Linked DNA regions of Tamandua tetradactyla. The protein of the gene in region 1 interacts with the protein of each later gene in a pairwise test. Links are inferred from orthologs where the notes say so. Each region holds a gene or a part of one and is shown in the gene's direction. Other genes may lie near its edges. The genes, in order: VIM, NOD2, KAT7 and PNMA5.

Evidence for each region.
Region 2: the proteins of VIM (region 1) and NOD2 interact in binary tests that used the Homo sapiens proteins (3 or more experiments, as listed by UniProt). The link is inferred for Tamandua tetradactyla from reciprocal best matches to the Homo sapiens genes VIM and NOD2.
Region 3: the proteins of VIM (region 1) and KAT7 interact in binary tests that used the Homo sapiens proteins (3 or more experiments, as listed by UniProt). The link is inferred for Tamandua tetradactyla from reciprocal best matches to the Homo sapiens genes VIM and KAT7.
Region 4: the proteins of VIM (region 1) and PNMA5 interact in binary tests that used the Homo sapiens proteins (3 or more experiments, as listed by UniProt). The link is inferred for Tamandua tetradactyla from reciprocal best matches to the Homo sapiens genes VIM and PNMA5.

Annotation. Positions count from the first base shown.
Region 1 is NC_135327.1:231,910,413-231,918,435, forward strand, and holds the start of VIM (vimentin), read left to right. Parts: upstream 1-4,974; 5' UTR 4,975-5,052; coding exon 5,053-5,612; intron 5,613-5,977; coding exon 5,978-6,038; intron 6,039-8,023. UniProt on the Homo sapiens protein: Vimentins are class-III intermediate filaments found in various non-epithelial cells, especially mesenchymal cells. Vimentin is attached to the nucleus, endoplasmic reticulum, and mitochondria, either laterally or terminally.
Region 2 is NC_135342.1:44,463,859-44,471,879, forward strand, and holds the start of NOD2 (nucleotide-binding oligomerization domain-containing protein 2), read left to right. Parts: upstream 1-4,961; 5' UTR 4,962-5,029; intron 5,030-8,021. UniProt on the Homo sapiens protein: Pattern recognition receptor (PRR) that detects bacterial peptidoglycan fragments and other danger signals and plays an important role in gastrointestinal immunity.
Region 3 is NC_135332.1:30,970,651-30,977,812, forward strand, and holds the start of KAT7 (histone acetyltransferase KAT7), read left to right. Parts: upstream 1-4,155; 5' UTR 4,156-4,268; coding exon 4,269-4,289; intron 4,290-5,686; coding exon 5,687-5,834; intron 5,835-7,162. UniProt on the Homo sapiens protein: Catalytic subunit of histone acetyltransferase HBO1 complexes, which specifically mediate acetylation of histone H3 at 'Lys-14' (H3K14ac), thereby regulating various processes, such as gene transcription, protein ubiquitination, immune regulation, stem cell pluripotent and self-renewal maintenance and embryonic development.
Region 4 is NC_135353.1:4,736,557-4,743,982, forward strand, and holds the start of PNMA5 (paraneoplastic antigen-like protein 5), read left to right. Parts: upstream 1-4,367; 5' UTR 4,368-4,480; intron 4,481-5,284; exon of another isoform or gene 5,285-5,307; intron 5,308-5,367; exon of another isoform or gene 5,368-5,396; intron 5,397-7,426.

The DNA of each region.
Region 1 (8,023 bases):
GGAGAGCCCACGGGGAGGAGAGCCATGGGGAGGAGAGTCCACGGGGAGGAGAGTCCACAGGGAGGAGAGCCACGGGGAGGAGAGCCATGGGGAGGAGAGTCCATGGGGAGAAGTGCCTGTAGGACTTGATCTGGGCATGGTGGGGTGGAGGCATGAAGCGGTGGGTTGGGGGGTGAGCGGCAGAGCCCCATGGGGGCTGCACGATGGAGAACCCAGAAGCAGCGATGGCATTTCCAGCGAGGTTGGCTGGCTGCCCTGCCCTGGTAGCGGGGAAGCAGGCATGGTGGTGGGGTTCAGGCGGGCAATGGGCTCGGTTCTCTTTTGGCTATTGTTCTAGTTTGCTAGCTGCCGGAATGCAACACACCAGAGACAGACTGGCTTTTAATAAAAGGGATTTATTTTGTTAGTTCTTCAGAGGAAAGGCAGCTAACTTTCAACTGCTGTTCTTTCTTACGTGGGAAGGCACAGGGCGATCTCTGCTGGCCTTCTCTCCCGGCCTCTGGGTTCCAACAACTTTCCCGGGGTGATTCCTTTCTGCATCTCCAAAGGCCTGAGCTGAGCTCTGAGTGCTGAGATGAGGTATGCTGAGCTGCTTGGGTTGTGCTGCGTTGCGTCTCCCATTTAAGCACCAGCCAATTAAGTCAAACATCATTCATTGCAGCAGGCACGCCTCCTAGCCGACTGCAGATATAATCAGGAACAGGTGAGGTTCACATACAACTGGCTCATGTCCACAGCAACAGAACTAGGTGCCTTCATCTGGCCAAGTTGACACCTGACTCTAACTATCACAGTTATGATGCCCTGGAAGGAGGGGAAGGAACATAGGGGAAAACGTGCAACTCCCAGGTGAGAGAAGGATTCTGAGCTCCTGTTCCTCACCGAATGAAGGGGAGCCCTAGAGTCAGGGGCTCGCCAAGCTCTTCCAGGAACCTGCATCTCCACAGGTGCTAAAGGCCCTTTCCTCTGCAGCTCCTGGAGCCTGATTAATATCTGTGAGCTACACTGGCTGACAGCGGACAAGGTTCAGTCACGGACCAGGAGAATAGGCACGCACATTCGGGGACACAAAGGCCCCCCTTCGCCACCCCTACCCCAGCGACCCCACCTGAAAGACGGTGTCAGCTCCACCTCACAGGTGCTGCAAGGGCCCCCTCTTACCTTCAACATAAGCAAAGCCCCCCGACACCCAGGTTATTGTACTGCCGCCCCCAACACCCAGGTTATTGTACCACCCCCCCCAACACCCAGGTTATTGTACCGCCCCCTCCCCCCGGCGCCCTGCCTCCTCAGCTGTGCAAGCCTGCCTGCCCCCTTCCCCTCCTGCCTGCCCCCTTCCCCTCTTGCCCGTCCTGACACCCCACCCCCACTGCTGTCCTGGGTCCTACCAGCTTCTCCAAGCCCGGGGCGCAGCTCCCATCTGCCACCGGCTGGTAAGTCGGTGCAAATAACTGAACTCGGCAGACAGGGCCACAGCCTGCAAATCCCAAATCCTGCGCGGCACCTGGGGTCAGCAGGGTGGCCTGGCCTGCACCCCTGGGGCCTGGCTAGGGCACTGCCCACACTGCAGATGCAGATGGCAAAGAGCTCAGCGTTTACAGAGCACCTGAGGTGGGTTTTCACAGAGTCAAAAAATAAACACAACTGAGAACACTGTGTCTGCGCTGCCAGCTTCCAAGAGGCCCTGAAGACGCAGGGAGGAGGCAGCGAGGGCGCCAGCTCCGGCCACCGCCCCTCCCTGACGCCTGTCTCCCAGCCTCAGTAACACCCAGCTGGCACTGGGCTCACCTCAGAGGGAACGCCATTCTTTCCAAAGTCTCAGGCATTGCACACATCTGCACACATATGTGAATACACACAAATGTGCACGTACATATATACATATATACATACATATAAACAAACACACTTATTTATATGCACATATTTGGATACACAGAGGCAACATGCCTACATACATATGGACACATTCACACATATACACACATACAAATACACAAAACATGCATGTATGCATATACATAATTATACATACATGTATACATATACATGTAAACACATACATTATAAGTGTACATATGCATAAACACAGATATACACACATTTACACAAACGGACACATATATGCATACACACAAACAGCATATACATTATACACATGTATATATGTATACATACACATATTGTCATGCACACTTACATACACATGCACGCATACACATATGTATCTATACACCTAGACGTACAAACACCCATGTACATACAAACAATACAAAAATGCATAATATACACACAAACATATACATTTAAGCATGCATACATATATTTATACACACACGAACACACAACACATTATACAAACATGCACACATATACATACATACATATACACAGAAACACATGAATATACATAGATACACATGCTATGCACAAATACACACATGCACACCTAAAATCACACATATACACACATGCATATATAAACACACTGTACACACACGTCATATACACTCATATAGAGACAGTTACACAGGTGTGTTTATATACATGTATGCATGCACATGCATATACAATATATGCACATATAGACACACCCCCCCACACACACACAGGTGTGTATACATGAGGCGAGTGAGCTCGTCAGTCCTGGCAAGAGTAGACTACCCCAGGCCTGAGGATACAGCAAGAGGGCACGTTTGCAGGAGAAGGGAGACATCCTGACGCCGAGGGGGGCAGAGTCCCACCGGGAGGAAGACACGCTGCCCCACCCCCGCAGGCCCAGACCCCCCTTCCGAGTGAGGCCCTGGACTGCTCTCTGTAGAGCCCACAAGCCGAGGCATCGCTCAGGCCGAGGCTTCCAGGGACTCACAATGGGGACCTTTGCTGAGCTGGGCCTGAACAGAGGCTCTTAGAGAGCAAGGCGAGGGCGGAGCCCAGGAATGTCCCCCACGGATCCCAGCCCCTGCAGCAGCGGCCTTGCCCACTGCCCCCGGGATGGGGAGTCCGGCCAGGGCAGGGAAACACTTCCAAAAGGAGGCTGTCCCTAGGCCAAATAAACCCTGCATTCGGCCCTAAGCCGCCTCCCTAAATGCCAGGTGCCGGCCAGGACCCAAGAGCGAGGGCTGGATGCTGCCCCTGCCCAGGCGGGTCTGAAGTCAGCCCTCTGGACTCCCCCAGAAAGCACGTCTCCAGGGCCCCATCACGGGAAGGCCGCTCCCTGCTGGGTCCCTTCCTGTGTGGCCTGGTCTCGCTGTAGCTGACAGGGAGACAGCAGCCCCTGGAGGTGAGTGGAGCACCCAGAAAGGGGGCAGTGGTGGCCCTGTGTACGCCTGCCGCCCCCACTCCTCTCGGCCAGGCCCCGCGGAGCTGGGGCACGTCCAGCAAAGTCCCAGGAGCCAGCGTGCGCGCTCGGTCCTGACATGAACACACCAGCCTGCTCCCCAGCCTTCCGTCAGCGGCCTTTGGCCAGGCTCATTCATCAGACTGGGGATTCCAAGCGACACCCAGTAATTCCCGCTTTGGCTCGGATTGTGCCTTTAAGGCCTTCGGTGGAGGCAGCAGCGCCAGGGGCCCTCTGCGAGATTGTGAAACCGCGGGCGGGGTTTCCTCTTTTACCCAGAACTTTCAGATCTTTCTAAAAGCCGGGCGTGGCGCCCTGGGGGAGTGGGGACGGCGCGGGCGGCCGGAGGGGGCTGGGCCTGCACGGGGCGGACCGAGTCGCGCGCGCCGAAGGGCCTTTCCGGTGAGAAGCGCGCGCGGCCGGGTCCGCTCAGGCCCTGGCGAGTTCTTAAGAACTTCGGGGCGCCCCTGTGCCCCGCAACAGCGCGGCGGCGGCCTTCTAAGTTGGCGAAGACCTAGGACAAAGCGCGAGTCCGCCTCGTCTAACGGTCTCCCGCGAACCGCTAGGCGCCCTCCCCCCGGGGACCGCAGGCGCCCTGAGTCACCCACCGCCGTGACTCAGCCACCGCGCCCCGTCCCCCGGCTTTCCTTGGCCGCCGGACCCAGCCCTCGGGTCCCGGACGGGACCCCCGAGACAGGAGGTCGAACGGGGCAGGCCCGCGCGCTCCCAGCCCAGTGGGTCAGGCGCGGGGGCGGGGGAGGGGAGCGAGACCAAGGTCCCGGTCCCGCCGCGCGCCCACCCTGCGCTCCAATCTCGGCGTTCTTTGTGTCACCCTTGCACCTCCCTCAGGCGGGGCCCTCACGCCCCACCCCGGTCACCGAGTTCCTAGCGCCCCCCGCGGCCCCTCCCGACCCTGGGCGCGGCTCCCGGCCCTTCTCCTCCAGCCACGGAGGGTTCCTCCCCCGCTCCTACCCCGCGCCCCCTCCCCATCCCTGGGCGCCGCACCCCAAATCCCTTTCCTCCAGCCCTGGGCGGATCCCCACCCTTCGCTCTCCACCAATCCAAGACTGTGGAGCGCGGTTCGAGGCCTCTCTTCTCTAGCGGAGGCGGGTCCCCGCTCCGCGCCCCCCACCCTCCTGAATGGGCGCGGCGCCGAGCCCCTCTCCTCCAGCTACGAGAAGACCCCTCCCCCGCGCCCCTCACCCCCGACCCTGGGCGCCGCGCCCCCAACCCCTCTCCTCCCGTCCCGGCGGCCCTTTCCCCGCGCCCCCCTGAGCACGGCGCGGGCCCCCTCTCCTCCAGCTCTCGGCGGGTACCTCCCGCTCAGCCCCGCTTGCTACCCGCACGCCCCTCCCCCGGCCCTGGGCGCCTCACGGGGCCCCTCTCCCCCACTCCGGGCGGGTCCCCCTCGCCCAGTGCCCCGCCTTTACCAGCCCCGGGGCTGAGCAGAGCCAGCCCAGGAAGCCCCGACAGTGCCTGCCCCGCCCCAGAAGTAACGGGACTGCCGGGCCGGACGGAAGGGGGGGACCCCGCGGGCGCCCCCCTCCTCTCCTTCGGAAGGTCCCATTGGCTGGCGCTTGCGCCGCGGCCGCCGAGAGGAGGGGGCCCTGCCTCCCTGCGCGGATAAAAGCCGCGCCCGGACTCCGGGCGTCCTCTGCCGTTCCCGCTCCGGTCCTGCGCTCGCGCCCCGCCGTCCGCCACCCGCCGCAGCCATGTCCACCCGCTCCGTGTCCTCCTCGTCCTACCGCAGGATGTTTGGCGGCCCCGGCACCGCGAGCCGCCCCAGCTCGAGCCGCAGCTACGTGACCACGTCCACGCGCACCTACAGCCTGGGCAGCGCCCTGCGCCCCAGCACCAGCCGCAGCCTCTACGGCGCGTCCCCCGGCGCCTACACAACGCGCACCTCCGCCGTGCGCGTGCGGAGCGCCGGGTCGGGCCCGCGGCTCCTGCACGACGCCGTGGACTTCTCGCTGGCCGACGCCATCAACACCGAGTTCAGGAACACGCGCACCAACGAGAAGGTGGAGCTGCAGGAGCTCAACGACCGCTTCGCCAACTACATCGACAAGGTGCGCTTCCTGGAGCAGCAGAACAAGATCCTGCTGGCCGAGCTCGAGCAGCTCAAAGGCCAGGGCAAGTCGCGCCTGGGCGACCTCTACGAGGAGGAGATGCGCGAGCTGCGCCGCCAGCTGGACCAGGTCACCAACGACAAGGCGCGCGTCGAGGTGGAGCGCGACAACCTGGCTGAGGACATCCAGCGACTGCGGGAGAAGTGAGGAGGGAGCCGCGGGGCCGGGGGGGGTGGGCGGGGCCGCCAGAGGGACCTGGTCGCGCGCTGGCCCCGGGGGCGGAGGGGCGGGCCCCGCCCTACCTCGGGACCTGGCGGGGAGCATTTCCCCTCGGCCCACGCAGTGCCCAAATGGCAGGTTTCTAAGCCTGCCGCCCGGGCTGCGCTGAGAGGCCCTGGGAAAGAGCAGAGGGATACGCCCGCGCTTGGGGGAAGGCTCCCGGCCCCGGGCGGACTGCCAGCTGCGCCCCGGCAGACCGAGGGGGCGGCAGCCGCGACGTGGGAGCTGGGTGTGGCCGTGCGGCCCCGCGCGCTCCGCGTCGCCTTGGGGTAACGGGCGCCTCTTTCAGGTTGCAGGACGAGATGATTCAGAGGGAGGAAGCCGAGAGCACCCTGCAGTCGTTCCGACAGGTGTGTGACCTACCCGCGCGCGCGCGTGCGTTGCCCCGGCCCCACCCAAGCGGCCCGCGGGCTGGCCTCGAGGTCGGCGAGCCTCGGTCCCAGGGGTGCGGAGCCTCCGGCCCAGCGCAGAGACCGCGTCTCGGGCCCAAACCCCGCGGCGACTTTCCTGGGGACGGTGGGAAAAAGGCTTTGGCTTTTTTAAACTTTGTTTCAAGGTTTTTTTTCCCAAAAAATAAGCCCGTTTCACTTTTGTAACACATTGGCATTCCGCCTTTGAACAGTTACAGTTTGACTTAGCTTGCGGTTTGCTACGGTGGAGTTGGCTAACTCATACAAGGTCACAAAAAGCAGTGAGGCTCAGAGTAGTTTAAATTGTAAAATGAGTTGCAGGATAAGAAACTTAGGCTAGTTGGAATCAAGCCAGCCAGTTTCTTTTCTTTTCTGCAAGTTCCACTGTGGCATTAAAGTTAGAAGTCCAGCCCTGCCCAGGACTTTGTGATCTAATAAGGGGGAAAGGGGCCATCTGGCCCCTTGCTGGAAGGGAATTAATGGTTTCTATGGGATTCACTATGGAATGCAGATACAGACGTTCTGGCAAATGTGGTGGCGCTGGGCAGACATAATGGCAGTCTTTGTGCTCCCCGCAGGGCTGTGCAGCAGGCGGCATTCTTATTCAGTCTGTCATGATGTAAGCAGAGCTCTCATTGGACACAAGTATTTGCTAACATCTTCACATCCGTTATCTAATATCTGGCCCAGGCTTGGGAAGTACGTGATGGGAACAGCTCTTAAAGCCACAGGGCACCTTGGACTGGCCTCTCAACTGCCCTCGTGGGTAAAGAAGATGCGAGGGCCAAAGAGCTGAACTTTAAGTAGAGGTTTTTGGGTTTTTTTCCTACAAATCTTAGCTCACTCAAAGGATTTTAAACTTACAATAGAAAGCAGGAAGGTTTCGCAGTGTAGATTTCTTCTCTCGCGCACTTACTGTACTGGCTGTAAAAGCACTTAGGTGTACAGTTGAGGATAACATCTTGAAGCTGAAAGACATTTGCCACATTAATTTAAATGCAGCAATGTGTGGTTCGCTTGAGTCACTAAGTATTTAAGATTATGTAATGTAGCGTGCAGGGCACTGAGTTAATAGAAAGCAGCTTTCATGTAAAAGGGCCTCTGTTTAGGGATGAGGCAAAGTTCCTTGCATTCTCTTCAAGGAAGCAGCTAACATGTTGAGCATTTTGAGAGGTTAGTAAAATGATTTTAAATCTTTTTAAGGGCTTAGTAGCAAGCAAAATGAATTTTTTTTCCAAATCTGATGTTTTTATTATTACCCATTCTTCACTTACTTTCCTGTGAGAGGGATGCAGATGAGATGGGGTCAGACTGCACGACAGATGTAAATTGCTCACAAGATAAGAGGTTTAGAAATCCTGGGACACTCACTTCAGAGGAAGTACAGTCTTAATTGAATGGGCTCTGATGTGGAATGTAGCAGCTTACAGAGGGTGGCAACACAGGAGGATAGTGAGGTGAGCAAGAGTCCTTGCAGGGCCTCGTGGTGGCGGGGATTGTAACGGGTCACTATGATAAAGGCAAGTGACAGAACTGACCGAGTCAGGGAGGGGGCCACACCCACCAGCCGGGTCACAAGGCTAGTCTCCCCAGGAAGGCACAGCACACATGGTCACCTTTGTTTCGGTATTTGCTGGAGCCGCATCTTTGCACACCCTAGATGTATCTAGTTGCTGCTTGATTGAAACCTGGCTGGTGATGTGGCTGCCAGGTGGTGATACCTACGGATAATTTCCGGACAATCTGAGAAGAGTAAAAGACAGCTTGGTATGCATCGACACTTTGGGAGCATGAGTTTCTGTTTTACATGCACTCATGTATAAATGAAGTTTTGCAACCCAGTTGGGCCTGTCCTGCCTGTATTCCCTTACGCTACGGGACACACATGCACACACTTTTAAAACACTGTGGCATTAACTTTTTAT
Region 2 (8,021 bases), on another chromosome or scaffold:
GAGACAGTCCAAGCTCCTGGGGGCAGCCCTTGCACACAGGCAGCCGGCATACCTATTCTTCCACCAGCCTCCCCATCCAGTAGAATTTTAAATGTCACAACCCAGAAGGTGACTCCCAGTGAGGAAGGGCTCAGGCCTGGGGCTCCTGGAGACTGTCCCCTTGCTTTCTGAGCACTACCTGGTAGGTGACCAGGTCAGGGCACTCAAGTACAGAAACACCACCAGAGCATCCCTACTGCCTGCCTTTGGCATGGGACCCTGCAGGCAGGGAGGTGGTAATAAAGGCTTCTTAACCCACTGAAAAGAAAGCTTTAAAAAATTATTATACAAGCAATATGGGCTTATTAGGAAATATAAGCTAACAAAAGAGAATTTAAACAATCTACTTACAATCCAACCATAAATTTTGAAGGATAGTCTTTTGACTTTTTAAATGCATGTATTCATAGATTTTATTACAGAAATAAGAGCATGCTGCATGAAACATTTTTGCAACTCACTTTTTTTGTATTGACATATAATTCATATGCTGTAAAATTCATCCTTCTAAAGTGTATAATTCAGTGGCTTTTAGTATATTCACAAGGCTGTGTAACCATCACTATTATCTGACTCCAGAACATTTCATCACCCCAAAAAGAAACCCTGCATCCATTAGCAATCACTCCCCATCTCCTCTCCCTCCAGCTTTAGCAACCACTAATCTATTTTCTGTCTCTGTGGACTTGTTTATTCTGGACATTTCATAGTTATGGACTGTGCAGGTTTGAGAGGATGTATGCCCCCTCGAAAAGCCATGTTGTAATCTAAATCCCATTTCCTAAAGGCAGAATAATCCCTATTCAGTACTGTATGTTTGAAACTGTAATCAGAGCATCTCCCTGGAGATGTGATTTAATCAAGAGTGGTTGTTAAACTGGATTAGGTGACGACATGTCTCCACCCATTTGGGTGGGTCTTCATTAGTTTCTGGAGTCCTATAAAAGAGGAAACATTTTGGAGAATGAAAGAGATTTGGAGAGAGCAGAGAATGCTGCAGCACCACGAAGCAGAGAATCCATGAGCCAGCGACCTTTGGAGATGAAAAAGGAAAACACTTCCTGGGGAGCTTCATGAAACTGGAAGCCAGGAGAGAAAGCTAGCAGATGATGCCGTGTTTGCCATGTGCCCTTCCAGCTGAGAGAGAAAGAACCCTGACTGTGTTTGCCATGTGCCTTCTCACTTGGGAGAGAAACCCTGAACTTCATCCCTGGATGCATGCCTTTGATTGGACATTTCTATAGACTTGTTTTAATTGGGACATTTTCTTGCCCTTAGAACTTTACACTAGCCACTTATTAAATTCCCCTTTTAAAAGCCATTCCATTTCTGGTATTTTGCATTCCGGCAGCTAGCAAACTAGAACCTGGACCATACAACATGTGGCCTTTTGTGTCTGGTTTCTTTCACTTAGTGTAATGTCTTCAAGGTTCATCCCTGTTGTCACATATATCCAAACTTCATTCCTTTTTAGGCTGACTAATATTCCATTGCACGGATATATAACATCTTGTTTATCCATTCACCCGCTGATGGACATTTGCTTCCAGTTTTAGGCTACCATAAATAATGCTACTGTGAACATTCATGTACAAGTTTTTATGTGAACCTATGTTTTCAGTTCTCTTGAGTATATACTTAGGATTGAGCTGCCTGGTCATTGGTAAGTATATGTTTAACTTTTTGAGGATTTATCAAACTGTTTTTCCAAAGTGGCCGCACCATTTTACATCCCCAGCAGCAGTGTATGAGGGTTTCCATTTTTCCACATTCTTCCCCACATTTGTTATTCTCTGTTTTTTAGTATAGCCATCCTACTGGATATGGAATGGTATCTCACGTGGTTTTGATTTGCATTTCCCTATTGACTAATGACATTGAACGTCTTTTCATGTTCATTTGTATATATATATATATATATTTGATAAACACCTATTCAAATCCTTTGCCCATTAAAAAAAATTGGGTTACTTATCAAAATTGCTAAGTTGTAAGAGTTCTTTATTCTAGTCACTAGATCCTTGACTATACGACTTTGCAAATATTTTCTATCATTCTGTGGGTATCTTTTGACTTTCTTGATAATGTCTTTGAAAGATAAAGTTTTTAATTCTGATGAAGTCCAATTTATTATTTTTTCTTTGATTGTGTATGCTTTAGGTGTCACAGCTGAGAAACCATTGCCCCATCGAAGGTCATGAAGTTTTACTCCTATTTTTTCTTCTATGAATTTTCCAGTTTTAGCTCTTTTATTTAAGTCCTCAACCAGTTTTCAGTTAATTTTTGTATTTGGTGTGAGGTAGGGGCCCAACTTCATTCTTTTTTATGTGGCTATCTAGCATCATTTGTTGAAAAGATACAATCTTTCCCCATTGAATATCTTGGCACCCTTTTCAAATAGCAACCCATTTAGAAAACTGATATTATATTATGGCATCTTTCCATGCTAATGAACATATATCTATAAGCATCTTTTAAAAATAAAGCTTTATTGGGGGTGCAAGGGTAATTTAGTGGTAGAATTCTCACCTGCCATGCAGGAGATCTGGGTTTGATTCCCGGGTCATGCACTTTCCCCAAACGAACAACCAAAAACAAGCCAACAACAAACAAACAAAAAAATTCAACAAATGGTGCTGTAGTAACAGGATACTCACATGGAAAAATAATGAAATGTGACCCTGCCATACAACATACCAAAAAAATAACAATAATAAAGGCTTATTGAAATATAAGTAATACAAAGAAAAGTGCAAACACTGTAAGTGTTTAGCCATGAATTTTCAGAAAGTATTCACACCTGTGTAACTGCCACTCAGACCAAAATACAGAACATTATTTGCATCCTGGAAGCTCCCCATGCCCCTTCTCAGTCATTACCTCCACCCCATGGTAACTGTTATCCTGGCCCCTACCACTTAGTTTTGCCTGCTTCTGAACTTTATACAATTGATAACAGATGGTAAGTATGCCTTTGCATATGACTTCTTCTACTCAACATTTTGCCCATGAGATTCATTGGTGTTTTTGTGGGTTGCAGTAGTTCATTTGTTATTACAATTACTGCATTGTTTTTAGGACATTCATTCAAATATTTATAGCTTACCAGGTCCTGTTCTAGACCCTGGAATAAGGAAACGAATGACGCAGAAAGGTTCCTGTTTCAAGTCCCAGCGGGGAGAGATTGACAAAGAAAATAAGTAGGACATATAGTGTGTTATATGGAGATAAGTGCTATGGAGAAAATTACAAAATGCAGGGAAAGGGATGTGGGGGGCAGGTCGCAATTTTGTAGGGGAGAGCCAGAGAAGGCGTCCCTGTGAAAGTCATATTTAAGCAAAGACCTGAAAGAGGTGGAGGAGGCAGCCACATGGATTTTAGAGGAAGAGCATTCCAGGCAGAGGAAACAGCAAATGCAAAGGCCTGGAGGTGGCCGCAGGGTTGGCACATCCCAGGAATGTCCGGGAGGCCCACGTGGCTGGAGCAGAGTGAGCGAGGACAGGAGGATTTGGAGAGGTCACAGGGTGACAAATACTGACAGTAGGACTTGGCTTTGACTATGAATATGAATGAAATGGAACCATTGGAGGGGTTTGAGCAGAGGAGGGACCTAATTAGCCTTTTTTTTTTTTAATGGACTCTGGCTGCTGTGTTGAAGAAAAACTATGGTTGAAACCATAGAGAACTGCTAGGAGTGCTTGCTATAATCTGGAGGAGAGATGATGGTAATTTAGACCCAGGTGGTCATGGTGGACATGGTAAGAAGCGGCTGCATTCTGGATCCATTTTGAAGGTCAAGCTGAATAATTTTTTCCTAGGATGTGGGGTAGCAGAGAACACATGGCGATTGAGTTCTCCAGGTTCAGAGGCTCCGTCGTGTCCTTTAAGCCATCTCATAGGATTGGACATTGAGGTTTCCAGCCTTTCACTGTTAAGGGCATCCTTGTGGGTAGATTTGTCCCCCATCTGGAATGATTTCCTTGATGAAAATCAAGGAAAGAATGAGTCTTTCGATTCAGCATTTCCCAGCCTCAGCCCACCGTGCCCCACTTGTGCAGGTATTTACCCGGAAGCAATGCAGGGCAGTGTTTTAGAATACACTCTTTGGTCTAGACACCTTGGGGGCAGGACGTGGCTCTGCCGTCACAACTTTGAAATCTGGGATAGGAGAATGACTCTGTGTTTCAATTTCCTCATCTGAAAATCTGGGATTTTAATAGTTCACTCTGTGAATCTATGTAAAGCCTGGCACACAGGAAGTGCTATATACATGTTATTTTCATTATTTTTCTTGAAATTGACTTCACATTTTTTAAAAAGCCAGATAGAAGTGTATAAAAGGAACATTGATATTCCTTACTTGACAAAGTAGTGTCACTTGCTCTGTAGAATAGGAAATCAAAAAATAAATAGACTGAAAACAAGACAGTGCTGTTAGCTTCTGGTTTCATATTGCTGCAGCGACAAGGAGACGAGGCTGTGTTCTAGAAGAGCTCAGCCCTACTAAACTAAACTGAGACCTCTCTCGCCAACTTACAAGGTGGAGAGAAAAATGGAAGGTGTGTAAACCATCACGTACCTACAGCATTGTTCTGGGAACTTCGCAATTTTAAGACTTTCAAAAACTGGATTGACTAGTTCCCCCAAGGATGCACAGGTTAGTATAACACCAAAGGATGTCACCGCACGTGCGTGTGTCTGTGTTTTGGAGGGTGTGTGTGTCCCGAGAGACTTGTCTCCGGACTCCCTCCCAGCCACTCTCAGGTCTCAGGTGAGTTCCTGGCCCCCCGGGACGCGGGCGCTCTGGGGCGGGGAGCGGGTGTGGCCCGCCTGGCAGCGGCGCGGCGGGCGGGGTGCCCGGCAGTGGGACGGGCCCGGGGCGGGGACACGGCGGGGCGGAGCCGAAGACCCGCGCGGCGGGAGCCGGAGCCAGAGGCGGGAGACGCTTCCCGAGCCCGGGCTGAGGATTCGGGACGCCGGCGGCTCCGCGGTGAGTGCTCGCTCCGGGCGCGAAGTCTGCTCCGGGCGCGAAGTCTGCGCCCAGCGCCCAGGCGGCGGGGAGACAGTGGGCGCCGAGTGTCCTGCCCCCTGGCAGTCGGACGCCTGGCTTCAGAGCCGTTATAGTCGCTGGATTTGGGGAGGGTGCGCCTCGGTTTGCCTTTGAGGACTCCCGGGGTATACATGGGGGACAGAGAAAAGAGAATGTCTCAAGGTTGGGAAGCCACCTGGTGGGTTGTGGATACAGATGATGAGGAGACTTGGGGGCATGGGTGGGACTCACCACCTCCCAGGTTCCCTGATGTCTGGAGAGGGTGCTTGACTTGGGGGTCACCAGAGTAGTGGGGACAGAACCTCTGAGTTGTGAAGTCTTGAGGCTCTGGGCTGGGAGTGAGGAGACCAGACACCCAGCGTCTCAGTGGGATCACCCTTTGTAGTTACCCTTCTTCACTCTGGGCCTTAGTTTCCCCATCTTCCCATACCTGTGAATGGTTGGGTGTATGTGGGAGAGTCTGCTTGGATAATCTCTAGCCCCACCTCTGGCCCTATAAATATTATGGGGGCTCCTTCTTCTTAGTTTTCCCAGTTCACCCCCTATCCCCACTCCATCTGCTGCCCAGCACCGCATCCTCTGAGTCATTCGCTCTCCCCACTGCAGCCCTCTTGTCCTTCTTACTTGCCAACAAACTCAGAAAACTCCCCAGGTCCCCTCGGGCGGCATCTTCTGCAGCTGGCTGAGGGCTGGTAGCTAGACCCCTGGCTCTGAGGCTGCCCTGGGCCTCTTTCCTCTGTTTGGGGCCCTTTGGCTTCTTCCTGCCCTTTGCCTCAGTTTCCCCAGGGGCTGGCTCCTTGAAGAGTCCTTATTCCATAGAAGGGAAAAAGCCTGCCCTGCCGCCCCTCCCCGGCGCTTGGTGAAGACCAGAGTGGCCTTCCATGGCCTCTGCTCCGCTGCCTGAATCGGTCTGCTGGGGACCCCAGCGGCCCCTGAGTTTGCTGGTTACTCAAGGCCCCCTTTTCCTCTCTACATGTTGGAATTTGAAGGTGGAAGGAATCTCCTCTAGCCCACCTCCCTCCCACCCAGGGCTGAATGCCTGCAGAGTGCTGGCCCAACCTCTGTTGCGTCTGCCTGGTGACAGGGACCTCATTGCTTATGAGTCCTGCAGTTCTCACTACACTCAGCTAAAGCCCAGGGCTTGCAGATCCCCCTTCTTGGCTCCACTTCTGCCTGCTGGAGCCATACAGAGGAAATTTATTCCTTTATTTGAAAAATCCTGATTGATGCATTGTATGAGACATGGGGATAGAGTAATGAAGAAAATAGACGAAACTGTCTGCCTTCATAGGGTTCACATTCTCGAAAGCAGTCAAAAGCAATCAAATAGGTGAATGCATAGTATGTCAGGTGGTGAGAAGTATGCCATGGAGAAGAAAGCAGGGAAGGATGATGGGGTGGGGTATTGCAGTTTTATGTAGCCTAGTCAGGGACTGTCCCTCTGAGATGGTGACAACTGAGCAAAGCCTTGATGGAGGTGAGGGGTGAGCCATGTCAATGTCTGGGGGAGGGAGAGTGTGCCAATAGAGGGAGGAGCATGTGCAAAGGTCCTGAGGCAGAAGCCGGTGTGTCCAGAGCTGGGTGGATGAGGAACAGGTGGGGGGTTAGTAGGAAACGAGTTCAGAAAAGTAAGGGTTGGTGTGTGTGTGTGTGTGTGTGTGTGTGTGTGTGTGTGTGTGTGTGTCCATAGTGTATGGCCCTAAAGGTCACGGGGAAGATTTTTGTTTTCACTTGATTGCAATGGGTGTCACTGGAGGAGACACTTGCTCCGATCTGGGGTTTCACAAGCTCATCTGGCTGGGGGATGGAGGATAGACTGTAGAGGGGTGAGGGCAGAAGTAGTGGACCAAAGAGGTCTACTGCCATTATTCAGGGGAGAAACCATGGGGCCTGGAAAGAGGTGGCGAGCAATGATCAGATTTTCTGATTTGGGATGTACTTAGAAGGTAGGTTCGATAGGATTTGGGATGCACAAGGAGGGGTGGGAGTCAGGCTTTTGGCCTGAGCGCCTGGACATTTGGAGGTATGGTCAGCTGAGATAGGGATGCCTGTGCCAGGAGCTGTTTAGGGAGAAGAAAGGAGTTTGGTCTGGTACTTGCTAAGTTTGGGTTGCCTATTGGACATCCATGTAAAGAGGTCCAGTAAGCAGCTGGGAAAAGTTGAGGCATGTGGGGGGAGCAAGAAATGAAATTTGGGGTGCCAACACACAGTGTTAGTAGGTAAGCCATAAGAGCAGGGGAGCCCACTTAGAGAGCGAGGGATGGGAGAAGAGGGGTCTATTCAGGGACCCCTGGACTAGCACTAGGACTGAGAAAGAGCAGAGGGCAGTGTCCTGGGCTCTAAGGAGGAACGTTCTTCAAGGAGGAGAGGACAGTAATTATGACAAATGCCTTCAGCAGAATGAGCAAGATGAGGGCTGTGAATCGAGCAAGGTGGCGTGGCTGATGACTTTGACAAAAGCAGTCTCGATGGAGTGGTGGGGCGAAAACCTGATGGAGGGGAGGGGAGATGAGGACTGGGATGCAGTGGTAGAGGCAGAGGACAGGAGGCCTGCTGTTAGAAGAACAGAGAAATAGGGTTGTAGCAGAAAGGGGAACGGGAGAGGCTTTACATTTTGAGAGGGGAGAAATGACAGTGTGTCTGTGTGCTAATGTGGAATGACAGCCTGGGAAGGGGGGGACCAGAATGGGGGATGGCTGGGAGTGGGGCGAGAAGATTGGCACCAGCTTCCCAGGAGCTAAGAGCAAGGGCAGCTTCCCTGGTCCTCCCTTCCTCTCCTGCTGCAAGACCAGGAGACTGGGGTGTCAGTATGTAAGCAGAGCGTGGGCCCCAGAGAAAGCCTGGCCCTGCTGTGGTCTCTGGAAGGAAGGAAGTATCAGAGCTCAGAACTGGGCCAGGGGACAAGCTTGACCCTGTGTTTTGGCAAAGAAGT
Region 3 (7,162 bases), on another chromosome or scaffold:
AAAGCCCACCTTCTCCCTGTCCACCGGCAAATTTATTCATCCTGGAATTTTCATTCCTGTTTTATCTCTTCTGTGAATCTTTTCCTACACCTTCCAGATAAACCCATCCATTTCCTCTTCCGTGGCACTTTTGAACTTTGCTCATCCTTCTCTTTTCCCAGATAATATGCTGTAGTGTTTTGGAACTATGAGCTTATTGATCTGTCTGTCCCAGAAGGATTCTAAGTCCTTTTAGGGGAAAGATGGTATAATGCCTGGGTTATCACTCCGGGTCTGTTGAATTGAACTGAGGTTGAACAGACAAAAGCAAAGAACCACTGGGACCATGAAAAGATATATTTACAAACATTAAGACATTATAGCCATGAATTATACATATCAATAACAACAGTTATTCATTGAACAGTGCTGTGCTAAGTGCTTTGCAACAATCATCTCTTTTAAGCCTAATAACAGCCCCGTGAGGTGGGAATTAATATTCCTGTTCACAGATGTGAAAACTGAGATATGGATCAATTAAAAATCTTGTGCAAAGAGCATCCAGAGAGAAAGGAACAGACCTGAGATTTAAATCCAGATGTGACATGAAAGTCCTATACTGGACACTAGTAGATCTGATGAATAAGTAAGAGTTACTGTTCTTATCTGTTTGAGAAAGGCAGTGAGGAATAAACCATCTACCAAATTGTATAAGGAAAAGTATAAATATTGCAGTAACTGCAAAATTGCATAGCACCATGACTTACTACCTTAAAAAGAATAAATCAGGAAAAACTTTTTATACATTTATTGTCCCCCCGAGGGGCGTGCACTGTTCCTGGAAATACTGCAATACCAGGTCGATGCATGGAGTGGACGGAGCAAGCTCCTATTCCATCTCCTAATTCCAAAAATCCATTTAATATATTGTCCTCGGATAGAGGACATATCAGATATAAAACTGATAAGAACAGATACTACACTTGATCTTAGCCAAAAGGCCGAGAAGCGATAGGAAAACTTTTTGAAGAAAGTAAATTTTAAGGTGTGTTGGGAGATGCATGTAGGTAGGAAGAAAAGCCTGTGTGAAAGGGTAAAGGCAGGAAGGACAGTGGAGAGTATCTATGTAAAGTCTGGTGGCTGAAGATGGGCAGGGAGCAAATGGTCTAAGGCCTTGAAACCAAGTAAGAGCTTATTATGTCCTTACTTTACTCAAAGTAAAAATACTTGGTCTAAAACAAAAAGAAAGAAAAATGTAAGATTCCCGCTCCTTCTCTTTAAATACACCTAGTTGGTATAATCTCATGTTAAGTACACATTCTTTCCCCCTTAGGAATGTTATTTCTATCCTATTGGTGTTAAGTTTTTCATCTTTCTGCCAGAATGTACACTTTCCAAGTACAAGAACCATGTTTAAACTGTGAACTCTTAAGTGTTGGCCGCATGCAGAGAATGCAGTTTAAGAGCTTTACTAACATTTAACAGTTGTCATATTGGTATTTGTATTAGGAATGGTTTAAGTCAGGATAAGATCTTTTTCTCCAATACCAGTTTCCAGGGAGGGTGACTTAAATCCTGCACATTCAGAGACTGGAGAATAGAGATGATACTTTGATTAGCTTGTATTTAGTGTGGGTAGAACACGGTCTAGGCATTATTAGAGGGGATGTCACAAAAGAATTGAGATATGCTTTTAACACAAGAGGTCATTACTACTAGGTGGGGAGCCAGAAGCCTCAAAAGTGAACTCAGCACAGAACATTAAGTGCAAAATAACAGCGTAACAGTGTGATAGCCAAGGCTTGATTGCTGAGAGGATACAAAGCAAGAAGAAATATGAGCCGTTTTCAAATAAGTTCTTCTATGCAGTTCAACCTAAGTAGGCTATTCAAAAGTACTTCTACTAATTATTAAAAGCTAAATATCAAATTACTAAATACTGAAAGTTGCCTTTGTCAACACTGGTCCAGGATATCTCCACAGAGAGTGCTGGCATAGGGTCGGGCATCTTAACTCTTCAGAATCCTCTGTTCAGCCACCAATCAGATGTTTGCCTTCTGCTGCTTTGTTCTTGAACTCTGCTCCTTGGGGGAAATCTTCATTTTAGTAGGCTCAGGTTGGAACCCGGGTCCAGGATCCTAACTTAAGCCTGTCTGGATTCCACCCAGCTGCTGTTAACAAAGTCTTGGTCTTCTCAAGGCTTTTTTTCCAGCGAGGTTACATCTTTGACCAACTTCTTCCTAGGCTCTCAAAGGAGGCCCTAATCATCATCATCACCATCGTTATTTAAATATCTATACCTTTTTAAACTCTAGCTCAAAAACATCCCTTCCTCTTCTCCCCTGACCCCAACTCCCGGCTCACGCTATCTGGATTTTCAGAATTCACTCGGGATAAATAGGTTCAATGGTTCTCCGACTCTAGCATGGCACCCCCACGTTTTCGCTACATTTTTCATCCCTGGCCACTCAGTACTCTGAAATCCATACAAAATGGGGGAAGGAGGGAGAAGTTCACCACAGGGCTAAAATGGAAATTCTTAGGAGCTACTGCTTCTGGAGAATAATTGCCTCCTCCCACCACCCGAACGACCAATTTACGTACTGTTCGCCAAGGGCAAGGGGAGTATCTCCTCTACCAAAAAGAAAACTTTCTGATGATAGAAGCTACCCTTTCGTTCATTTTATAAGCCGCCATTCCCTCCCCTATCGAGCCACAGGCTGGTTCTTAAAAGTTTCCTGTGCAAAATACCCCTTCTCAATTTTGAGTTTACATGCTAAACGGAAATATCTTTAGCCAATTAGGCAACGAAGGAGTTAAACTTCAACAACTTCATGGATTTTGGGGGTTTCCTTCTTCGTCGCCAGTAATTTAAAACGACCTGGAAGGGAAACTTTGCCCAAGATAAAGATGAAAACCTTTAACTTCAACTATCAAGTTTTTGCCGCAAACAAGAATAGCTAACCACGCCCACAAAGGCCGCCATTCACCTAAATAGCCCTGGTTTCTGCTACCAGTGTCTTTTCCTGCCCAATTCCAAAATGGCGCTCACTAGCCTCACCAAAGAGGGCGAACGCCACGCCCGCTTCCCAGCACCATCTCTGGCCTGAGCGCAAAGTGACGCGACCACAGCCGGAAGTGAAGGAAAAAGCGCCTCAGCCCGCGGCGCCTGCGCAGAAGACTCTCGACGCTGTGAGGCAGGAGGCACTTGGGATCGTCCGCAGGATTGGGACTGCTACAGAGGCCGCCACGGAGCCCGCCGGAGCCACCGTTCCTACTGCTGCTGCCGCCGCTGCCCGGATCGGAACCGTCGGGCCGCAGCCGCCGGCGATGCCGCGAAGAAAGGTGAGAAAAACGAGAGGGGAGGGATGGCGGGTTTCTGAGGACAGTCGATTGAGCAACGTGATGCAGCTAGCCACGCTTCACAGTGGTTGGGGACCAACTTCCTGCTCCCCCAACTTAGCTCAGCAACCCTCTCTTCCGTCTGTACTCGATAGAAGAATGTGGGCCCGACCCTGGCCTGGGCCTATGCTTGCTACTATTCCCGCCCTCTGCTTGGCTGGATCGGAGGCGTTCTGATCGCTAATTGGTTGTTGAAACATCGAGACGTATATTGATTGGCTGGTGATACCGCCCATTTGGATCCAACGGTCACCTCCCCGCGTGCGGGGGCGGTGTCTGGGCCCGGCCTTACCGCGCTCTAACTGGCTGTAGAGAACTATCCCTCTTCTCTTGATTGGCTGTACTTGGCAGTCTGTCCCGTGGGGGCGCAGTTTAGCAGGACCTCTATTGGGCGGCACGGGACCCCTCCCTTCTGGGTGGGGATGCTGATAGGTGTAGAGGCGGGGTTTTTAAGGCTTCCTTTCTTTCCGGGGTGGGGGGGGCGAGCGGGGGCGGTGACAACAAAGCAGAGGACTCGGTGCTGTGGAACCAGTGTCCGCTCTCAAGGGATCCATTCAGGCCTATTGAGTCTAAGTCTTAATTTTTCTTTATGTCTTTAGCTCAGCAGCGCCTAGAAAATGCAGTTTGTAAAAGCAGAAACTTTCTAGAATTAGAAGAGAGTTAAAGGATTACCTAGGAACCACCCCGTCTCTCTTTTTACAACTGAGCAAACGGAGGCCTAGTAGTAGTGTGCCCAAAACCACTCTTAAGTGAGTGCAATGGCAGAGCCAGGACTAAACAACAAATCTAATTTGGTTGAAGAAAGGTTTGACTGCTTGTTATTGGCTGGCTTGCTGGGGATTGGAAAACTACTTAGACAATCCCTAGTTTAAGGGACTCGCAGTCTCATGAGGAAAACATACAGAACGGTAAGACAGTCTATGCATTCTCTAAGTGGAGAAATATGTAATACAAGGGCAGTGGGAAGCAGTTAAATCTGCTCTGGAGTAAATGGGGAGTATATTGGTGAAAGCCTGGGTAAAGCTGGGAAGGAATGTTCAGAGGTGATCAGGGGTTGAAATATCTGGATAATTGAACTAGATGATCTTTAGGACTCTCCCTCCATCCATTCTGTGACTCTGTTCTGTGGCCTCCATTTCTGCACAGACTTTCAAATTAAAAATATGTATTATATTTAAGGTCTCCTAAGATGACCTAGAGTTGGTAGGTGGTATTTATCTTAAGGCTCACCAAATGCAGGAATAGTGTTGGTGCATTGGAATAGGTCCACCATCCCCCTTCTGCAATTCCCAAATACAAATATCTTTGGAAAATTTAAGTTTTATAGCAATTTATTTGGTGTCAAAATCTGTCTTAAACTGTCCAGCAGCTATTTATGTTTTTTATATATCGCATTTAGTGTTACTGTTTTCACATTTTGCTGCAGAAATATTAATATGCTTGATTATAGGCTTTATTTGTATGTGAAGTAGTCTCTTTCCAATAATCTAAGAAATAATGAATAGCAAACTCAGCTGGACCCAAGCATTTTGAATAAAGGATTAGGGATTTGTAGTTCAAAGCTCTGTATTTTAGTAAATATTCTCCTTTCTCTGATTAAAGGATATAGTGTTAGTGCTCAGTTGATAAAAATTATCTTTATGGCTATTCACTCCTGAGGAAGCTAATGATTGACGAATAATTTTTAGGAAAACATTATTTTAAAAATCTGTTTTTTAATATCCCCAACTTTTCACATGCAAGCTGCCTTTTCCAGTCCTTTTAGAGAAACCTTTACGGGGAGAGGACATAAGAAAGAGTTTCTTTCTTTTTCTCTTTCTCTGGAAGTTCTCTTGGTAACATAGTTGAGGACCATGATATTTTGAATTAGCACATGGTTTCTTAACATATGATAGCTGTTTGTGGAGATTTAGAACAAAGGTAACCTGAAGTCGAATGGATCTTAGCCAAACATTTTTCTTACTGATTTGGACTTTCCATGTGCATTGATACATCAGCCAGACCATTTTTGAGTTGGATACTTTTGTTATGCTTATCTCCAAATGGATTAGTTTCAGAATTAGTGATAATACAGTAAGAGTTAATTTTTTGTTTATTTAACAAAAGTACCTTATTTGTAGGTTACCTGTTTAAATGTTCTTAATAAAGGCTAGTTGACTCTAGGCTGGCGGAGGAATTGTATCTGGAATCCTTTCTGAGGTAGAGCTTGGTGTTTTCGGCATCATGGTTTGTTTTATTTCCACTGTTAACACGATCCTATAGTTTAAATACTTCTGTGCTAATGTCTGGATCTATGGTGTTACAGAGGAATGCAGGCAGTAGTTCAGATGGAACCGAAGATTCCGATTTTTCTACAGATCTCGAGCACACAGACAGTTCAGAGAGTGATGGCACCTCTCGGCGATCTGCCAGAGTCACCCGCTCCTCAGCCAGGCTGAGCCAGAGTTCTCAAGGTAAAAGGCTTTGTTCTCTCTGACCACTCACAGCTGACCATTGGTCAGTCTGTTATTGTGGTAGTTAATTTGGAAACTGGTCCCTTATCTTGGTATAGATGTCAGAAACTGGTGAAATGCAGAATGAATAACTGTATATGTATCAGGTCTTTAAAAATGGTTCTGTTGGGGGTGCCATCCAATTTGTAGACCCAAAGGAACTATGACATAACGTGACATGTTAGAGTGTGCCATGATGTATGTCATAAGTCATTTAATTTTTTTAGACTACAGTTTTCCCTTCAGTAAAATGGGAATATTACCGCTTCATTTTCTATCACAACAGTTTAGGTTTAGGGACTTAACATAGTATCTTTAATCTATAGTTGAAGGAGCCTAGTACTTCTGAAACCATATTTAGTTGTGAAATATAGTCAGATACACACTTAATAAATACAAATGTACCCAAACATCATTGTGTAAATACCCAGAATTTGGGGGGAATAGTAAAAAATCTAGACTCTCAGAGTTGGAAGGAAGTTTAGGTTCTTTAGTGCCATTAGCCATCTGTACTTGGATTTGGAAGGCACCCTTGACTTCTGCTTCTACTCTAGAATTCCCTGGGGAGGAAAGAAGGTTGAAATGTGCAAAGCTGATGATCGGTAGGAGATACAAGATTAAGAAAAGAAAAATTATAATATGCTTTGAGTGCTGATTTGATCATTGCTAAATGCATGTTGCAAAACAGAGAAAAACTTCAATTTTTCAAGCAAGAAAGAGGGAATATTTTCTCAACAGCTGTCTTTAATTTTTTATTTTTAAATTTAAGAGTTTAAAGAATAGCTGTCTTTGATTTTGCAACTTTTAAGTTTTTTTCTACAATGGCAGTATTGATAAATGCCTAGTATAATTCAAATACTATGCTATGTAGTAGGATGCAGTGATGGAAAAATTATGTTCTTGCCCTCAAGGTAGGGCAGCCAACTAAGAACAGGTCTCCCAGAATGAGATCTTAAAGGATCAAGTAGGAAATGATGGGCTTGGTGTTCTAGGCAAAGGGAACAGCATTTTGCAAAGGAAGAGGCATAGGATTCTTAGAAGATGTCAGTGGTCATGCCCTGGACATCTGAAAGTTGTAAATACTTGAAACAGCTAGAAAATGTATGAGGTCTGGGTCTCTTTCTAGTTACTGTACTTCATTACTAGGGAATTGCTTGACTCCTAGGGGTTGCATTTGCAGTGTAATTTTTGTAAGGTGGCCTTCTCTAAGGCAAAACATAGACTACATTGAGAATGGAGCCCCTTGGAGGTGTACAAACTGACAAACTTTCTGAGTGCTAGCTTTATTC
Region 4 (7,426 bases), on another chromosome or scaffold:
CACCCCTCCTCCCCCAATCCCCCCGCCCCCCCCCTCCATTCTAGGCATCCTCCTGCCTCAGGGCATTGCATTGTTCTCCCCTCTGCCTGAAGATGCCCACCGGGCTGGCTCCCTGAGGCCCCCTGGACCACTCTGTGCAGAATTGCACCCACTCCTCAGCTCTCCTTAGACCCCTTTTAGCTTCCTCTGTTCACATGGCCATCTTGTTCATGGTTTGTCTTTCCCTACTCAAATGCAACCTCTGCATGGGATTTTTTTTTTTTATTAATTAAAAAAAGAATTAACAAAACAATTAGAAATCATTCCAATCTACATGTACAATCAGTAATTCTTCTGCATGGGATTTTTGTTATTTGGCTCACGCCTCTTTCCCACGTCAGTACCTGGCATTATGCCCGGCATCAAGCAGGCACTTGATAAATGCTGCTGACAAAAATAAGTGAGATCATTTATGACCATGACGGGCTGGAGCTGTGCCGTTTTGCCCTGGCTGCCATGTGCCCCACGAGGCAGTTGAAACGTAAGCATAAATGAGTTAGAATCCAATTTAACAATTCAGTGCCTCATTGCACTCCCCACGTTTCAAGCGCTTGGTGGCCACGTGAGGCTGGCAGCTACCCTATGGGACAGTTCATCTGCATCCTTGCAGAAAGCTCTGTCAGGCAGCACAGAGCGAGAGAGCAGCTGCATTGGTGACTTTAGATGAGAGGGGGAGGAATCTCAGGTGAGGAAATTTGTCCTGAAGGCAGAATGATGAGAAGCAGCCACTGGTACAGGGACCTGGAGGGAAGAGGTTTCCAGGCAGAGGGACCAGTCGGTGCCATGCCTAGTGGGGCTGAGTCCTGGGGGCCACCAAGCAGAGGAGCAGCTGGAAACCCCAAAGAGAGGAAGGACCAGTGAAGGAGGAGGGGAGCCGCAAGAATCTGGCATCCCAGGAGCCGTGGGAAGAATGCGCATGAGGAAGGAAGGAAGGAAAGGCCCTTGGCTGGTAGAGTTCACTGGTCTTCCCCCACCGAAGGGCAGCGGGTGTGATGGAGCAGCCTTTGAAGACTCAGTTGGGATGCTAAAGGGATGGCCAGCCTTTGGGGCAGGGTGGAGTACTGCCCACTGGTTTTGGCAGATGCCAGAATGGCTGGGTCCAGAAACTGAGGGGCAGAAGTGGGAGTGGCTCCGTTCAGTATTGTGTTCCTGGTCCACTAACAAAATATTTGTTTCCCATCCCTGCAATTTGGGGCTCTGCTGGTCCGGCAGACTTAGTTTCCAAGGGAGGAATGCTTCCACCAGGGGACCCTGCGCCGGTCCCACTGAATGGGAAGTTAAGGCAGCCACAGCCAGCTGGGTGAGGACAGGGGTCCTTGGAAGGTTCGCAGAAGGAGGAAATTCTAAAGATTGGCTACACCTCAGGGCCAGCTGCAGAAATAAGAGCTAGAGAAGCTCTGTGCATTTTGTCACGCTTTTGAGTATCTTAACTCCTTTGTTCCTTCTTACTTTCCTTTTCTAATCCCGTGGTTAATTTATCTTGGTGGTAATTGACCTCACAATTGGGCCAGAGAATGAGAATTTGCCTAATGGGACCTCGGACTCCCCCTTTTCTGGAGAGAGGGTGAGGGTGTGTTCACCTACCTGAGGGCTGGTCACGCCCCGCCGAGCGGAGGCATAATGTCACCGTGGTCATCACCTGGGAGATGAATGTGGGTGGGAGAATGTGACGGATGCTGAGCGGGAAGGGAGGGCTGGCTGGCTTGGCTTTCTCAGCTCTGCTCGTCCCTGCCCTTTTGTGTAAAGCAGAGGCCTGGGAACCTCAGGTCCCAGGTTCCTTCACCACACTGGCTCTGCGTTCCCTTCCCCAGGGAGAGGCATTCATGCCACATTGGGACAGCAGCGAAGCCCTCATTTTCTGGTAGCACGCTAGTATGGGGCATCCAAAGAAATCACACGCAGACTTTTCCAGCAGCTTCCCGGCAACCTCCTGGCAATCAGCCCTGACAGTCCTGCAGGTAGCTGGGACCATTGCATCTTGGGGCCTGGGAACCACTTATTTACTTTCGGATTTCCCCAAAGCCTGCAACAGCCTCCCTGCCCCTCAGTCCCCCCGGCCTGGTAGGGATTGTGGAAGTCACTGATTATCTGAGCCCTTCCTGCTCGAAAGTGGCCCTACCTCCCTGGCACCTGCCTCTAAGTCTGTCAGTGCTGCTTCACCCAGCTCGTCCATGCTGTCCAGCACACATCTGCTAGGGAAGGAGTCCCCTGCTGAGTGCTCTGTCTGTGAACACCTCCTGCCTGCACCCTGCACACCTCCTGGCTTTGGACTCCCTCTGCGAAGGCCTTCTGTGGACCCCTTCTTCATGCCACACTTTTCCCAGGGCGGCTGGTGCTATTTCCACCCCTGGGGAGACCTTCAGCTCCCACATGTGCCTGGGAATGCATACATCTCTGCTCTAAAGCTTCCTCCGGCTACTGGAGCTCACTCCCTGTGAGAGCCTGGACACCAGGCCTTTCCTGAGAATACTCTTTGTACATTTATGTTTTAATAGCTTTACTGGGGTTATAATTGGCACACAATAAACCACGTCTCAAGTGCACGCTTGGATGAGTTTTGGCATCCGTGAAACCATCACTGCAATTAAGAGTGAGCACATCTGTCACCCCCCAAACTTTCTGGGTACCCCTTTGTGATACCCCTGCCTTCCCGTCCCTGTCCCTATCTCTGCATTCTCCGATCTGGTTTCTTGTCACTGCAGATCAGTTTGCATTTTCAAGAGTTCTACACAAGTGGAATCACACGGTATGCATCCATTTGGGGTAATGGAGACATTTCTTGGTCTTGACTGGGGTGGTGCCCAGACTCTAAACTTAAAATGGATGTGTTTTACTGCCTATTAATTATCCTTGATAAATTGCTTTTTAAAAGGAAGGAAGAGTTATGAAGTTAACACCCCAGCCATTGTGAGGGGAAGTACAGGTCTGGCAGGCAGAACTAGCAGTGTCCACGAGGCCAGTGGGAGTCAGGACACTGGACAGTGATCTGAGAATCCGCCCACCGCCCCGGGTAAAACAACCCCCCCCCCCGAATAAAACATCCCAACGGGAGTGTAACACCCCAGCAGCACCAGTTAGCCTTGTTTGCTCCTCCAGCCAAGGAGACTGATTGAACAAATCTGCCTATTCTTAGGAGGTAAGGCACACTGAGGGAGTCTTCTGCAGTTAAAGGGGAATATGCTGTGCACTGCAAACATCTCACTCAGTGACTTTTTATTGAAATTTGCTTTGTTTTTAGGATTTTTTTTTTTATAGAACAATCATGAAACCGTCTGGGGGTGTTTTTTTTTCTTTTGTGTGTGTGTACCTTTAGCAAATAAGGGTAAAGAAATCTACTATGTCACCAAAGGGTCACATCATCTGGCCCTGAAAAGTAAAAACAGGCTTTTAGAGCCTCACGACCCAAGGCATGGTCAGGCACCTGCAGCATCGGAGTCAAGGAACTTTCCAGAACACCCCTCCCCCACCACGCCTCTGCCTCAGAGCAAACCTCTTCAGTCTGGAGAAAACGTTCCTTTAAGAAAGGGCGAGAATTCATTTGGGTCTAGCTGGGTAATACTTGGTCCTGAAAGCGAGAGAAAAACGAGGATTAGGAGTCTTTTGATAGTTTTCTATTTCGGGGTGGGGCGGATCCCCGTTTCTCGCCATGCCTCACCTCCCCCCCAAAGCACGCCCACCCCACCCCGCCTAAAGGCAAAAAAGGCGCCAAGCCTTGCTTTCCCTCTGCGCCCGGCCGCAATATGGAAATGAGGAGGGCGTGGGTGGCTGTCGCGCCACAGTGTCCGGCCAATGGGGAGCGGCACCTGCCCTCGGGTCCCGCAATGGCTGCTGGGGCTCGCGGGACACGTGGCTTGGCGGGCTCCTAGGGGCCGACCGCATGGGGTGGGGTAGGGGGGTGGGGTGGGGTGGGGTAGGGGGGTGGGGTGGGGCGGGGTGGGGGTAGGGGGGTGGGGTAGCGGGGTGGGGGTAGGGGGGTGGGGTAGCGGGGTGGGGGTAGGGGGGTGGGGTAGCGGGGTGGGGGTAGGGGGGTGGGGGTGGGGTGGGGTAGGGGGGTGGGGTGGGGTGGGGGTGGGGTGGGGTAGGGGGGTGGGGGTGGGGTGGGGATGGACTGGCGGGGGACAGGCCGGCCGGCACTGTGAGCTGCTGGCGGGGGGGGGTGGGGGGTGGGGGCACCACGTGGCCCAGGCTGGCTTCTGGGTGGGCTGCCGTGCGGGGTGGGGGGGTAGAGGGGTGACAGGGCGGGACTTCGGTTCCCCCACCCCCACCTCGAGGCGTGCAGGCTTCAGGGCGCAGCCGCGAGCGGGCCGTGTGCAGCTCCGCGGGGGGCCATCACGCGGCTCCCCTTAACACTCCACCCACTGGCGGCCCACACTGCACTGCGGCGGCGGACGAGAGGTGGCGGCGGCCCGCGGGGGCTCCGCTCCTCAGGCGTCTCCGACGGGTAAGGTGCGGGTCCCCCGGTGTCCTGGCGGCCCTGTGGTCGCAAGGGAAACCCTATTCCCCGTCCCATATTCGCCTTCCGTCCCCACCGGGCATCCCCGGGGCGGGTGACCGCAGGGTCCCCAGGCAGCGGGTTCCCGCTAAGATGGGCCCGCACCCTGACAGCGCGCAGCATGCGCGGGCCTCGGCCGCCCTGGGTGTTCCTGGACCTCGGGCCACCCCGAACCTGCCCCGAGCCCCCTCGCGGGCAGGCCAGGGCGCCCGGGTCTCTCTCCGCCCGGTGTCCGCCAACCTGCACGTGGGGAGACGGTCCTCGGGGGACGGGGTTGCTGGGCCCCAGGGTGGGCGTGAAGGGGGTGGGGGTGGGGGAGCGAGTGTGGGAGAGAACCTGGGGTGGGAGGTGGTGGACGCTGTGGCAGGGGCCTGAGTGAGGGGCTGCACGCATGGGGGGAGGTCGCGGGGGTGCAGGGGTGGGCTCCTGGGCGCGAGAGCGTGAGAGTGGGGCTACATGGCAAGGGCGAGACCGTGAAGAGGGAGGGTGCGCGTGGAGTCGACATCGTGGAGGCGGTGGGGTGGGCCCCGCGCGACAGAGGGCGAGAAGGATGGGGGCAAGACCGTGAGGCGGCGACTCAGTGCGTGGGGTAGGCGGGGGCGAGAGGGGGCGGGGGCGAGAGGGGGGCGGTGCGCTGGCAGCGGGGCGTGCGGAGGCGGGAGGGGGCGTGCGGATGTGGGGGCAGGACGCGGCGGAGGCGGGCCGACAGTGAGCTGGGCGGGGTTACGTCGAGGGGAGATCGCAAAGGTTACAGGGTGCGGGGGCGAGAGCGCGAGGTGTGGGGGCGAGTACACGGGCGTAAGACCGTGAGGTGGGAGGGTGCGCGGGTGGGGGCAGATGGCGGCGGTTGGGGGATGGCACGAGGGTGAGAGTGTAATGGGGGAGGGTGCGCGGGTGGGGGCAGATGGCGGCGGTTGGTGGATGGCACGAGGGTGAGAGTGTAATGGGGGAGGGTGCGCGGGTGGCGGCAGGTGGCGGTGTTTGGGAGATGGGCGCGGGGGTGAGAGCGTGAGCTGGGTGGGGCACGTGGAGGCGGGATCGCGGAAGTGAGGATGCGGGCGCCTGGGTGAGTGAGGTGAGGGGCTGAGTGGTCAGCGACAAGAGTGTGAGGTGGGAGGGTGTGCGGGTGGGGGCATCATGGAGGTGGAGGATGGGTGCCCGGGTGAGAGCGTGAGCTGGGTGAAGTACATTGAGGAAAGATTGCGGGGGTGAGAGTGCAAGGTATGGGGGCGAGTATATGTGTGTAAGAACGTGAGGTGAGAGGGTTTGCGGGTGGCGGCAGATGGCGGCTGGCGGTTGGGGGAATGGGCGCGGGGGCGAGCGTGGTGGGGGAGGGTGCGCGGGTGGCGGCACATGGCGGCGATTGGGGGATGGGTGCGTGGGTGGCGGCAGATGGCGGCGGTTGGGGGGTGGGTGCGGGGGCGAGAGTATGAGCTGTGCAGGGCACGTCTAGGCAGAATCGCGGAGGTAAGGGTGTGGGCGCGGGGGTGAGAGTGCAAGGTGAGGGGCCGAGTGCACAGGGGAAGCCCATGAGGTGGGAGGGTGCACATGTGGGTGCATCAAGGAAGCGGACGGTGGGTGCAAGGGTGAGAGCTTGCGCTGGGTGAGGTACATGATGAAAGATTGTGGAGGTGAGGGAGTGTGCACGTGGGTGAGAGTGCAAGGTGTGGGGGCGAGTACACGGGCGTAAGACCGTGATGGGGGAGGCTGCGCGGGTGGCGGCACATGGCGGTGGTTGGGGGATGGGTGTGGGGGTGAGCGCGCGATGGGGGAGGGTGCACGGGTGGCGGCAGATGGCGGCGGTTGGGGGATGGGCGTGGGGGCGAGAGTATAAGCTGTGCAGGGCACATCGATGAAAGATTGCGGAGGTGAGGGAGTGTGCACATGGGTGAGAGTGCAAAGTGTAGGGGCGAGTACATGGGTGTAAGACCGTGATGGGGGAGGCTGCGCGGGTGGCGGCAGATAGCGGCGGTTGGGGGGGTGGGAGCGTGAGCTGGGCGGGGGGCATCGAGGAGGATCGCGGGGGTGAAAGTGTAAGGGGTGGGGGTTAGTGCATGGGGCAAGACGGAGACGCGGCAGATCGGGCGGTTGGGGGATGGGCACGGAGATGAGAGAATGCGCTGGGCGGGAGCATCAAAGCAGGATCGCGGAGGTGAGGGAGTGGGTGCAGGGGGTGAGAACGGAGGTGAGGGGGCGAGTGCACAGGGTTAAGACCCTGAGGTGGGAGGGTGTGGAGGTAGGGAGATGGGTATAGGGGAGACAGAGTGAGGTGGGACTGGGCAGTTCCTGGGGAGATCAGGAAGGTTAAAGGGTGAATGTGGGGGTGAGAGCAGGAGGTCATGGGGCGAACCAGGAGGCATGGGGAACGCGCGTGGGGGTAGATTGTGCAGGTGGGGGATGGGCGCAGGGGCGACAGCGTCAGCTGGGGTGGGGGTGGGGGTGGGGTGTCAAGTTGAGATCCCCGAGGTTTGAGAGTAGGTGTGGGGATGAGAGGGTGAACGCACCAGGGCAAGATCATTAGGTGGGAGGGTTCGGAGTGTAGGCAGATAGCTAGGGGAGGGAGTAGGCAGAGGGGTGAGACTGTGAGGTGGGAAGGGGGCACTTGGGGGTGAGATGGGGGAGGTGAGCAGGTGGGCGAGCAGGAGCATGAGGGGCATTTGCGCATGGAATCAGAGTGTTGGGAGTATGAGCAATTGTGGTCCGAGGTGTATGAGGGGTGGGTGCCGGGGTGAGGGTAGAGGGCATGGTGGATGTGGCCATAGCCTCACTTAGGAGCCTGTTGGTGCCAGCAGCAGCGCCCAATTGAGGAGTTTCTTGTACCCTGGGTCTTGTATCCAGGGTCTTGGTGGATGTCTTGGCACACGGGGATCAGCACGGTGGCATCTGGGCAGAGGC